Linked DNA regions of Saccharomyces cerevisiae S288C. The gene in region 2 interacts genetically with the main gene of each other region. Each region holds a gene or a part of one and is shown on either strand. Other genes may lie near its edges.

The links.
Region 1: mutations in ECM5 (region 2) and FMS1 together harm fitness more than expected from each alone (negative genetic interaction), as found in Saccharomyces cerevisiae (2 studies listed by BioGRID).
Region 3: of ECM5 (region 2) and SOD1, changing one enhances a phenotype caused by changing the other (phenotypic enhancement), as found in Saccharomyces cerevisiae (2 studies listed by BioGRID, with this or other methods).

The regions. Positions count from the first base shown.
Region 1 is NC_001145.3:313,276-317,034, forward strand, and holds FMS1 (polyamine oxidase), read left to right. Parts: upstream 1-2,101; coding exon 2,102-3,628; downstream 3,629-3,759. Other genes in the region: STB4 (Stb4p), read left to right, coding at 1-1,730. UniProt on the Saccharomyces cerevisiae protein: Involved in the production of beta-alanine, a precursor of pantothenic acid. Multicopy suppressor of fenpropimorph resistance.
Region 2 is NC_001145.3:610,042-613,800, reverse strand, and holds the start of ECM5 (Ecm5p), read right to left. Parts: upstream 2,062-3,759; coding exon 1-2,061. Other genes in the region: YMR175W-A (uncharacterized protein), read right to left, coding at 2,293-2,487; SIP18 (Sip18p), read right to left, coding at 2,546-2,785; PAI3 (Pai3p), read left to right, coding at 3,436-3,642. UniProt on the Saccharomyces cerevisiae protein: May be involved in cell wall organization and biogenesis.
Region 3 is NC_001142.9:621,902-625,025, reverse strand, and holds SOD1 (superoxide dismutase SOD1), read left to right. Parts: upstream 1-2,011; coding exon 2,012-2,476; downstream 2,477-3,124. Other genes in the region: ECM27 (Ecm27p), read right to left, coding at 1-188; ADO1 (adenosine kinase), read right to left, coding at 423-1,445; CTP synthase URA8, read right to left, coding at 2,536-3,124. UniProt on the Saccharomyces cerevisiae protein: Destroys radicals which are normally produced within the cells and which are toxic to biological systems.

The DNA.
Region 1 (3,759 bases), 300 kb from region 2:
GCCAAGAAAAAAATATAAGGCATGAGTCTAAATTTTTCGACTTTGATGACCCTGTTCACTTATCCTTAATCAATAAGTTACTAAGGTATTATTTTGATGAGATCAATCCTGTTTTCAGTATCATTCACGAAGCGACATTTTGGCAGCAATATAACAATAAATTTCTACGGCAAGGTAAACAAAATAATTCATCTGCGAATCTATTCACTTCCATGCTTTATCTAATTTTGTCTACTACACTAAGATTCAGAGAAGGGCATCTAGATGGTCAGAAAGGGCAAGGAACCTACAGTAACACATCCTTAAATATCACATTCGAGGAAAAATCTATTTTGATCAAAAAACCCTCCATAGAGGAAAATTTATTCAAATACGCTTATTTAATAATCAACACGCTGACCTTTGAGTGGGAATCATTCGAACTAATACAATCGTGGCTTTTGATAACCTTCTATTTCAGAACCTGTTACAGACAGACGGCGTGCTGGAACGCGTTAAGTCAAGCGGTGAACATGTGTAATGGGATGAGTCTATATTTAAACAAATTTCCTGAGATCCATTCCACTTATGATGAATCAAAAGCATGGCATTGTTTCTGGTGTTGTTTTATAATGGATAAGTTGATAAGTTTTCAAATGGGTCGATTCTACCAACTATCATTACCCGCGAGCGAGATGTGCGAACAGATGAATCTAGTGAAGTCAAAGAAATTTTTACAAGAAGAAGATGATTGGTTTCACGAAGAGACTTTTCAAATGCTTGATTTGTCCATAATAGTGACACAGTTTTTAAAAAGAGACGCACAGGATTTAAATTTGAACGAGACCGTGCAATTGCGCAGCCAACTTGGTCAATGGTATGACACCTTTATAGTTGGAAGTCAAACCAATGCGTACGACGACAATTATCGTTACTTCTATCAAGTTCAACCATTCATGACATACCTGGATATAAGGCTGACTTTCGAAGTAAGACAATTATTTTGTCTAATCGCCCCCTCATCTACCGCAAATAATAAATCCCTAGAATATGTCGTCGATACTGAATTGTTAATTTCTCATTGTCAAATGGCTATTGAAAATTTGGCTGAAATTACGAGAAGTAATCTTTTCTTTGTTCCGTGGTGGTTAAACCTTTCTCAACTATTCACGGTAAATTTAATATGTATTATCTACCTGCACGCAGGGATTGCCGTAACTCAAAATAAAGCTATCATGCAAAGCTGCCAAGAAATATGGCGAACCTTAGAGTGCTCTAAGCCAAAAAATCGGCCTTCAATGCTTCCTGAGTGCTTGTGGTGTTTGAAAATGCTGAATCATATGTTCTGCATACGACTGAGAGATTCTGCTTTGCAATTGGAAGCTACTCTCGGAACTGATCATGGTGATGACACCCCTAATAGAAATAAGTTTGAGCAGTTCAAGAAAGTTGGCGATAATGATGCGGATGTTGAAGTTGATGCTGGTGAAAGAGAAGAAAATGCTGATGAAAGACAAGAAAATCCACATAACAATAGCAAAAGAGTACCATTAGCTACTAGGTCTCATAATACCACTAACTTCGACGGTTCAATCGCAATTTCTCCGGAAAGTGCAGTAGCAAATCTAGGTACTGATACTGGATTGCCCTCAGATGTTCTTGATACTGTCAGTAAAATAGGGAACTCTCCTAATGTGTTTGATGATGATTTATTTTCCAATTTATTATGGTTTGACCAAAATTTTGCATAAGGATTCTTTTTCTATTCCATAAAACCATTTTATGGACACGTTTACCTACATATTATTATATTGTATATAAGATGTTGAAAAAATTGAGTCAACCTCACCTTACCACATGTTGGTCCGTTGCTATGACAAACTCTCGTTTTACAAGAAGGAGGCTCAAATTTCGGGTCACCCACCCATATACGGATGTCACGCTATGAGATCTTTTAAACAATAGACAATTTTTGGTATCCTAAAGATATAAAAGAGGAGTTTTTTTAAACCATGGTAACTATTTTCAAATTTGCTCTGCTGCAGTTTTTTATTTCTGTTTTTCTTTTTTTGTTCCCAACAAGAAGTGAGTTAATAAAGGCAAAAACAGTGGTCGTGTGAGAATGAATACAGTTTCACCAGCCAAAAAAAAGGTTATTATAATTGGTGCCGGTATTGCTGGGCTTAAAGCTGCATCTACGCTACACCAAAACGGTATTCAAGATTGTCTTGTTCTTGAGGCCAGAGATCGGGTCGGTGGTAGGTTGCAAACTGTCACAGGCTATCAAGGTCGGAAATATGATATAGGTGCTAGCTGGCACCATGATACGTTGACAAACCCTTTATTTTTGGAAGAGGCTCAACTGAGTTTGAATGATGGGAGAACGAGGTTTGTTTTTGATGACGATAATTTTATTTATATCGACGAAGAACGTGGAAGGGTAGACCATGACAAGGAACTGCTTCTTGAAATTGTGGACAATGAAATGAGCAAATTCGCAGAGTTAGAATTCCATCAACACTTAGGAGTTTCAGATTGCTCCTTTTTTCAATTAGTAATGAAATACTTACTACAAAGACGCCAATTTCTCACAAATGACCAAATAAGATATTTGCCACAACTCTGTCGATATCTGGAATTGTGGCACGGCTTAGATTGGAAGCTTTTGAGTGCCAAGGATACATACTTCGGTCACCAAGGAAGGAACGCCTTTGCTTTGAACTATGATTCTGTGGTTCAAAGAATTGCTCAAAGCTTTCCTCAAAATTGGTTAAAGCTAAGTTGTGAAGTGAAATCAATTACACGAGAACCTTCAAAAAATGTGACAGTGAACTGTGAAGATGGTACTGTGTACAATGCTGATTATGTTATTATTACAGTACCTCAAAGTGTATTGAATTTGTCTGTACAACCTGAAAAAAATTTACGGGGAAGAATAGAATTTCAACCACCCTTGAAACCAGTGATTCAAGATGCTTTTGACAAGATCCATTTTGGAGCGCTAGGTAAAGTAATTTTTGAGTTTGAAGAATGTTGTTGGTCGAACGAAAGTTCAAAAATTGTAACTTTGGCTAACTCTACCAATGAATTTGTCGAAATAGTACGTAATGCGGAAAATTTAGATGAATTAGACTCTATGCTAGAAAGGGAAGATTCTCAAAAGCATACGAGTGTTACTTGTTGGAGCCAGCCTTTATTTTTCGTAAATTTGTCAAAAAGCACAGGAGTAGCAAGCTTTATGATGTTGATGCAGGCACCGCTTACAAATCACATAGAATCCATTAGAGAAGATAAAGAGCGTCTTTTTAGTTTTTTCCAACCTGTGCTGAACAAGATTATGAAGTGTCTAGATTCTGAGGATGTCATCGACGGAATGAGGCCGATAGAAAACATTGCAAACGCTAATAAACCAGTCTTAAGAAACATCATCGTTAGCAACTGGACACGCGATCCTTACTCACGCGGTGCTTATTCGGCCTGTTTTCCAGGAGATGATCCAGTTGATATGGTTGTTGCAATGTCTAATGGTCAAGACTCCCGCATAAGATTTGCAGGCGAACATACTATCATGGACGGCGCCGGCTGTGCCTATGGTGCTTGGGAAAGCGGAAGACGGGAGGCGACTCGAATCTCTGACTTACTGAAATAGAATCTATTTTTTCGAAATTACTTACACTTTTGACGGCTAGAAAAGGATATACATACATATTAAAATTTTTAGTAACACTCTGTGCTTTTTCAAAAATTTGAGGTACACCTAATTCTCCCACTTGTTGCTTA
Region 2 (3,759 bases):
ACTGAATCTCAACCAGGAGCTTGGCGCAAATTTTGCATTCTGTGATAGATAGAAACCTGATCCAATAGAACATGTGAAGGCTTTCGGAAACTTAAAAATGTATGAGCCCTGCTCCTGTGTCGTCTTATAAAGTTTTATGCCATTGGCTAAGATGAAATTAGGCTCAAATATGAAGTCGCTTTGTGAACCATCATGTAGAGTGTTTCCTGCTATCTTATCTTCTGGAAATGAATTTTTTGAATTATCTCCAGTGTTTGAATAGTCAGCAGATTGTTCTGCATCCAAAAATGACTTGTAGAAATCTGTTTCTATAAAGCTCTTTAATTCGTCATCGGAGGTGGAGTAGCGCGGCCTTGATTGGATAGTATCCCATTCACTTTTTCCTCGAGCAATTAAAGCTTCGAATTTTTCCATATCTTTCGGCGCAATACTGTACACCAACTTGGTAGAACCTAAATGATTGAAATCAATTGAAGGTAAAAAATGATCCGAAACAGACCAACCTTGACAAGAAAACAACATTCCAATATCATAAGTGGTTCTCGTAAAATTGGCCATATCCAGATCAAGGTGTTGTAAAAGCGATAGTTCATTGAGAGGAATGTTGTCTAAATTCCACTGGTCTAGAATATTCTTAATGGCAAACTTTTCATTGGACGAGTTGTTTCCTGGTGATCTCATGGAACAGGGTAGTCCAAGACCGGTGTCAATTTCGAAATCTATAAAGTGCTCCGATAGCAAATGAAAGTATAACCTCTCGAATTCCTTTTGAGGTAATGTTGTGTGTTTCGCAAACAAATCAGGATAGCTACTCCCAAATTTCGCTACAATAGCAGTGAAAACAGCCAGACTTTTTTCGTAATACTGTCTCAAATTGTATACTGGAGAGGTTTTGGTTTCGTATTTGCTTTTATCGTATATTTCCATACCATTCTCCCAAAAAGTAAAATCATAGCCCGGTAATGTGGTCTCTGTTGACTGTGTATAGCCTAGTTTAAACTCAGTTAACGAGTTAAAATAAGTCGGAAACCCTTTTATGTGCTTTATGTCCCGCATTCTTTTAAATTCATGATTAATCGATCCGGCTCTAAAGACATCGCGGTGTATTTTAGCTTTTTTATGAAGTGGCTCCTCTTCGTCCCTACTTCTGCTATTTGAGTGACGAAATATTTCAGATTCCACCATGTCTTCATTTTTTTCGTTATTACGAGCAGCTTGCTCTTCTTCTTCATATATGTCAAAGTCTAATAAAATTTTTGCATAGGCAGATCTTAAAGAAGTTGATAACGAACTCATAATCCTGCCCGAGTAACCTAATTCTCTTCCAATTTGCGCCCATAATTTTTTTTCGCAAACAGCATTGAAGCCTCCCCTCAACTTCACACAACTCCTCAGTCTATATAAATCCAAGGTGCGTTTATCGATACTTGGGATCCTTGTGAGAGTACTCTTTTTGATTTTATTGTGAAAATTATACAACTTCGCATAAAAATCAACTATCTTGGTTCTTTGAAATTCATTCGAATTGAAAAATTGTTTTCTTGCTTTAAACCAGAGGCGATCTACATCAACATTTAGTTGAGTAAATTTGTCAGCATCTGGTATAATTTTCAACTTAACACATCCATAAACTGACCCTAAGTCTTCCACTAACTCATAAAATTTTATGGGGTCCGGGAGTTCTTTTTTGGCTAAAATAAATGTTGGAATAGAGTGTGGAGATATTTGATAAAATAAACCCGTCTTTTCATGAAACACTCTTGCGGGTACACCCTCCGGTAGCTCAACTAAATCTACAGATTTTATTGTTTCAGGTGCAAACGGTGCTGCACCACGAGATTTAAATTGCGTATAGAGAAATGGGCTAAAATTATGATTTGAAGTAGGAATTACAGCACTCCGCGGCGATTCCCATTGTTTAATCGAAGGTCGCTCCTGTATCTCTAATTCGATGTCTGCAATTTTAGAGCTTTCATGGAACCCGTTTTGTACCATTACCTTTTCGTTAACCGGTTCATTCAGGATATGAGATATTTTTGTAACAGAATCATGCCCACTCATTATAACTATGGAGATGGACGTACGAACAAGAACATACACGATAATCTAGAATTTGGAACAAAAAGCGAAGTTATTCAATATTATTTTCCTCCGAAGCGCTACACCTCCAGCGCCCTTGAGCTTAAAACAACCTTTATCTTCCACGCTGATGTAAAGTGTAGTTCTTATTTTAAGTGATGATGTTCACGAACTATGCTCGGCCACCGTTCACACATGCCGAAGATTTGAGTGTCACATCAACAGGCTTTCGGACGACTGAATACCAACAGCATCAAGCTGATTTGGCATCATTGTATGCATCATACAAACGTAATAAAGCACGGATGGAAGTCTTAGATATGACTTATATATATTCGTAGAAGAAAATTCGCTAAAATAAGCACTTATTGATTTTGAGTATAAAGAACATAAACATAAACAATTCATAAATAAACCATTAAAAAAATAAAAGGACTTGGTTAATTGCGCCCAAAAAAACGTAACATTATTTTTTCATGTTTTCGTAAGTCTTCCAATCGTTCGCAATTCCTCTGCCAGCGTTCATCTTTGTTCCAGATTGATCATGGCCCATCTTCATTCCCCCTTCGGACTGATCATGACCCATACCCATGTCCATGTTCATATCATCCCTTTCCTTGTTGGAGGATTTGGCGTTCTTTCCCTTCTGATGGGAATCATCGTTACCTTGTAATTTTTCAGCGAACTTATTCATCATGTTAGACATCTTGACTATACTTTTTTATATACCTTTCTACTAAAGTAAAGAGCACAGATACAAAGATTAAAAATGCCTAGGGACAAAACTTTGGGGCAGAATTGGGAGCTTTATATATGTTTGTGATGTTGATTCTGAGGGATGATAATTGCCCTCTCAGTCCCATCATTCTTTACACCTCGTACTGTATTCATGATCATCTATCCATTTTACATACCGCTCCCTTTAAGATACGTTTATTCGTAACTCCCATTTACCAATCACTATGAGCCGTCCACGTTTCCAAAAAAACCTAAACATATGATGCAAACCTCCAATGAGACTCAACGTAACATGCAAGTAAATACAGAAGGTTAAGAGATAGTTGTCTTAAAGGGGTACCGAAAGCATTTAGGGGAGGCTTAAGGGAGGGTGCCGATCCTATGAAGTATTAATACGTAATGCCAAAAGGAATTGTTGAACATCTGAAGTGGATAGATTAATCGTACAGTAATCGTACAGTACTATGTCTTACTGATGTCGGGAATCTCAGGGGCGACCGCCCCCGGCTAGAATTATCTATATAACGGTAAAAAGAATAAAACTCTATTCTAGTTCTCGCCATTTACCTTGACTTTAATGAACCAATAAAAGAAATTTCTACAACCAAGACATCCAGAATGAATACAGACCAACAAAAAGTGAGCGAAATATTTCAGAGCTCAAAGGAAAAATTGCAGGGCGATGCAAAGGTAGTGAGTGACGCTTTTAAGAAAATGGCTAGTCAAGACAAGGACGGCAAGACTACCGATGCTGATGAAAGTGAAAAACACAACTATCAAGAGCAATACAACAAGCTCAAAGGGGCGGGGCATAAGAAGGAGTAGCTCTGTTGTCCTACTATCGATTATTTGTGCCAGCGGGCTCTGTTAGGTTGAGGGTGGAAAGTGTAGAAAAAGCAGACCTATTTGCCAGCGGATACATAGCCACAGCTCATACATAAA
Region 3 (3,124 bases), on a different chromosome or scaffold from region 2:
CCATTCGATCGAAGGCTGTTGGGATCTGATATATGGGCCACGTTGGGGCAAAGAAAATCGGATGCACATATTCCTAATAACACGAAAGCAATAATGATATGAAATAAGCTCGGCACAATAAACGTTACTGAAAGTTTAGGATCCTTGTAAAGTAATCGTGGATGGGCGACATTGATTGCCCAGTCCATATTATTGTGTTATTGTTGCTTGTGTACGGCCGTATGTGGAGAGGATGAACGAGTATTTTGTTCTTAGCGCTGCTTGTCCTTTTTTCTTGAAGCTGTACTTTATAGCGCCTCTTTTCCTTATTGTGGTAACGGTGGCTTATTTGGTTTAAGAACAAGCGGTAAACATGTCTACGAATGAAAAGCTAGAGGGAACACGTAGAGTATATTTTATTTCTATTATATTGTAAGAAGAATCTATTTAGAGTAAGATATTTTTTCGGAAGGGTAAGAGGGACCAACTTCTTGAATAGACAAAGCAGCTAGCCATTGACCCATGTCAATAGAGGTTTCCAAATCTTCACCTTTAGTCAACCCAGCCATAAAGCCACCAGCGAAGGCGTCACCAGCACCGTTGGTGTCGACGATCTTAGAAGAGTCCAAAGGTTTGACTGGATATGTGCTGGTACCCTTGGAGGACACGACCACTGTTGGTTCGACACCGTGGGTGAAGATGACAGTCTTTTCAACTGGAGAGTCCTTGACAATTCTTTGAGCAATAGCTTCCAAATCAGTGTTGGCACAGTCTAATTGGAAGGCGTCGCAAAAGGCTTCGGCCTCCGATTCGTTAGCGATGATGACGGTAGCATAAGGCAAAACTCTGGCCAATGCGTCTTTGAAGACATGAGGAATGAAAGGAGCACTAAAGTTCAACACGAAAGGTTTGCTGTTCTCTTTAGCATGTTGGCCCAACTTAACGATAGCGTCTGGAGACACGGTCAAGTGGAAACCACCGATGTAGAAGAGCTTAGCTGCTTCGACCAAGTCCCAATGCTTGTCCAAGTGGTCTGGAGTAAAGAAATTGGCAGCACCCAAGTCAGTGACCAAGGACCGGTTATGGCCAGTGATTAATGCGGCACACTTACCGGTACCAATATCATTTTGAACTTGGTACATAGACTTGACACCAGCTTTTTCGTTTTCGTTAAGCAATCTCTCGCTGAACTTGTCCTTACCGACGGAACCGAAGTACACCACCTGGCCGGCGCCCAAAACGTATGCTGCCCCTCTAGCAGTGTTTTGAGCAGCACCACCTGCAACAAGCTTTGTTTCTGGCATCTGTAAGAGCTCGTCAAAAATAGCCATCTTAGCATCGCCTGATTTGGCATCGACCAAAATTGCGTCGTTTTCCTTTAGAGAATACTTGGCCAGGTATTCAGCCGTGACGTCGGCTTGGAAATCTAAAAGTGGGTTACCCAATACTACCAATGGTGCGGTCATAATTGCTTGCTCTTTCTTTTGCTGTTATCTTTGGTTCTACCCTGCACAAGATAAACTGAGATGACTACCTAATTAGACATGGCATGCCTATAAGTAAAGAGAATTGGGCTCGAAGAATAATTTTCAAGCCTGCCCTCATCACGTACGACGACACTGCGACTCATCCATGTGAAAATTATCGGCATCTGCAAAAAAAGTTTCAACTTCCACAGGTAATATTGGCATGATGCGAAATTGGACGTAAGTATCTCTGAAGTGCAGCCGATTGGGCGTGCGACTCACCCACTCAGGACATGATCTCAGTAGCGGGTTCGATAAGGCGATGACAGCGCAAATGCCGCTTACTGGAAGTACAGAACCCGCTCCCTTAGGGGCACCCACCCCAGCACGCCGGGGGGTTAAACCGGTGTGTCGGAATTAGTAAGCGGACATCCCTTCCGCTGGGCTCGCCATCGCAGATATATATATAAGAAGATGGTTTTGGGCAAATGTTTAGCTGTAACTATGTTGCGGAAAAACAGGCAAGAAAGCAATCGCGCAAACAAATAAAACATAATTAATTTATAATGGTTCAAGCAGTCGCAGTGTTAAAGGGTGATGCCGGTGTCTCTGGTGTTGTCAAGTTCGAACAGGCTTCCGAATCCGAGCCAACCACTGTCTCTTACGAGATCGCTGGTAACAGTCCTAACGCAGAACGTGGGTTCCACATTCATGAGTTTGGAGATGCCACCAATGGTTGTGTCTCTGCTGGTCCTCACTTCAATCCTTTCAAGAAGACACATGGTGCTCCAACTGACGAAGTCAGACATGTCGGTGACATGGGTAACGTAAAGACGGACGAAAATGGTGTGGCCAAGGGCTCCTTCAAGGACTCTTTGATCAAGCTTATCGGTCCTACCTCCGTTGTAGGCAGAAGCGTCGTTATCCACGCCGGCCAAGATGACTTAGGTAAGGGTGACACTGAAGAATCTTTGAAGACTGGTAATGCCGGTCCAAGACCAGCCTGTGGTGTCATTGGTCTAACCAACTAATGTTAATGATAATATACTTGAATAAAAACCGTATGTAAGTAAGTAGTAAGCGCATCAATTCATTCATTTTCATTTCCCTCGCTTAGATTTATGTCCTTGATCACTTCACCAAGTGTGCCGGAGGCTGCGGCCACAAGCCCCCAAAACGGTCTTGATGGTTCCAGCACCTTCGATGTATACTCTGGATGGTATTGAGTGCCCACGTAGTATGGATGGCCTTTCAATTCGAATATTTCGCAACGCTGGCCCGTCTCGTCCTTACCAACAAAAATAAAGCCACGAGACTCCATATCATTCACTATTTTCGGGTTTATCTCATAGCGATGACGATGTCTCTCATGCACCTCATTAACTTCACCATAAAGCTTCCTTATGTTGCTCCATTCTGAGTTCGGTTGGAAAATGGTAGGCCTCAAACCCAATCTCATCGTGCCACCCATGTGTTCCTTGTCGATCTCGGGCATGTATATGACTACTTGGTCTTCAGGAGCTAGTAGTGTCTCGTCCAAAAATTCTGTAGAACTGCTGTTTGGGCGGCCTATCACATTGCGGGCGAACTCGATAGCGGCAACTTGTAATCCAAGACAGACACCAAGAAAGGGAACACCGGATTCACGGGCCCATTTGGCAGCAAGAATCATACCTTCA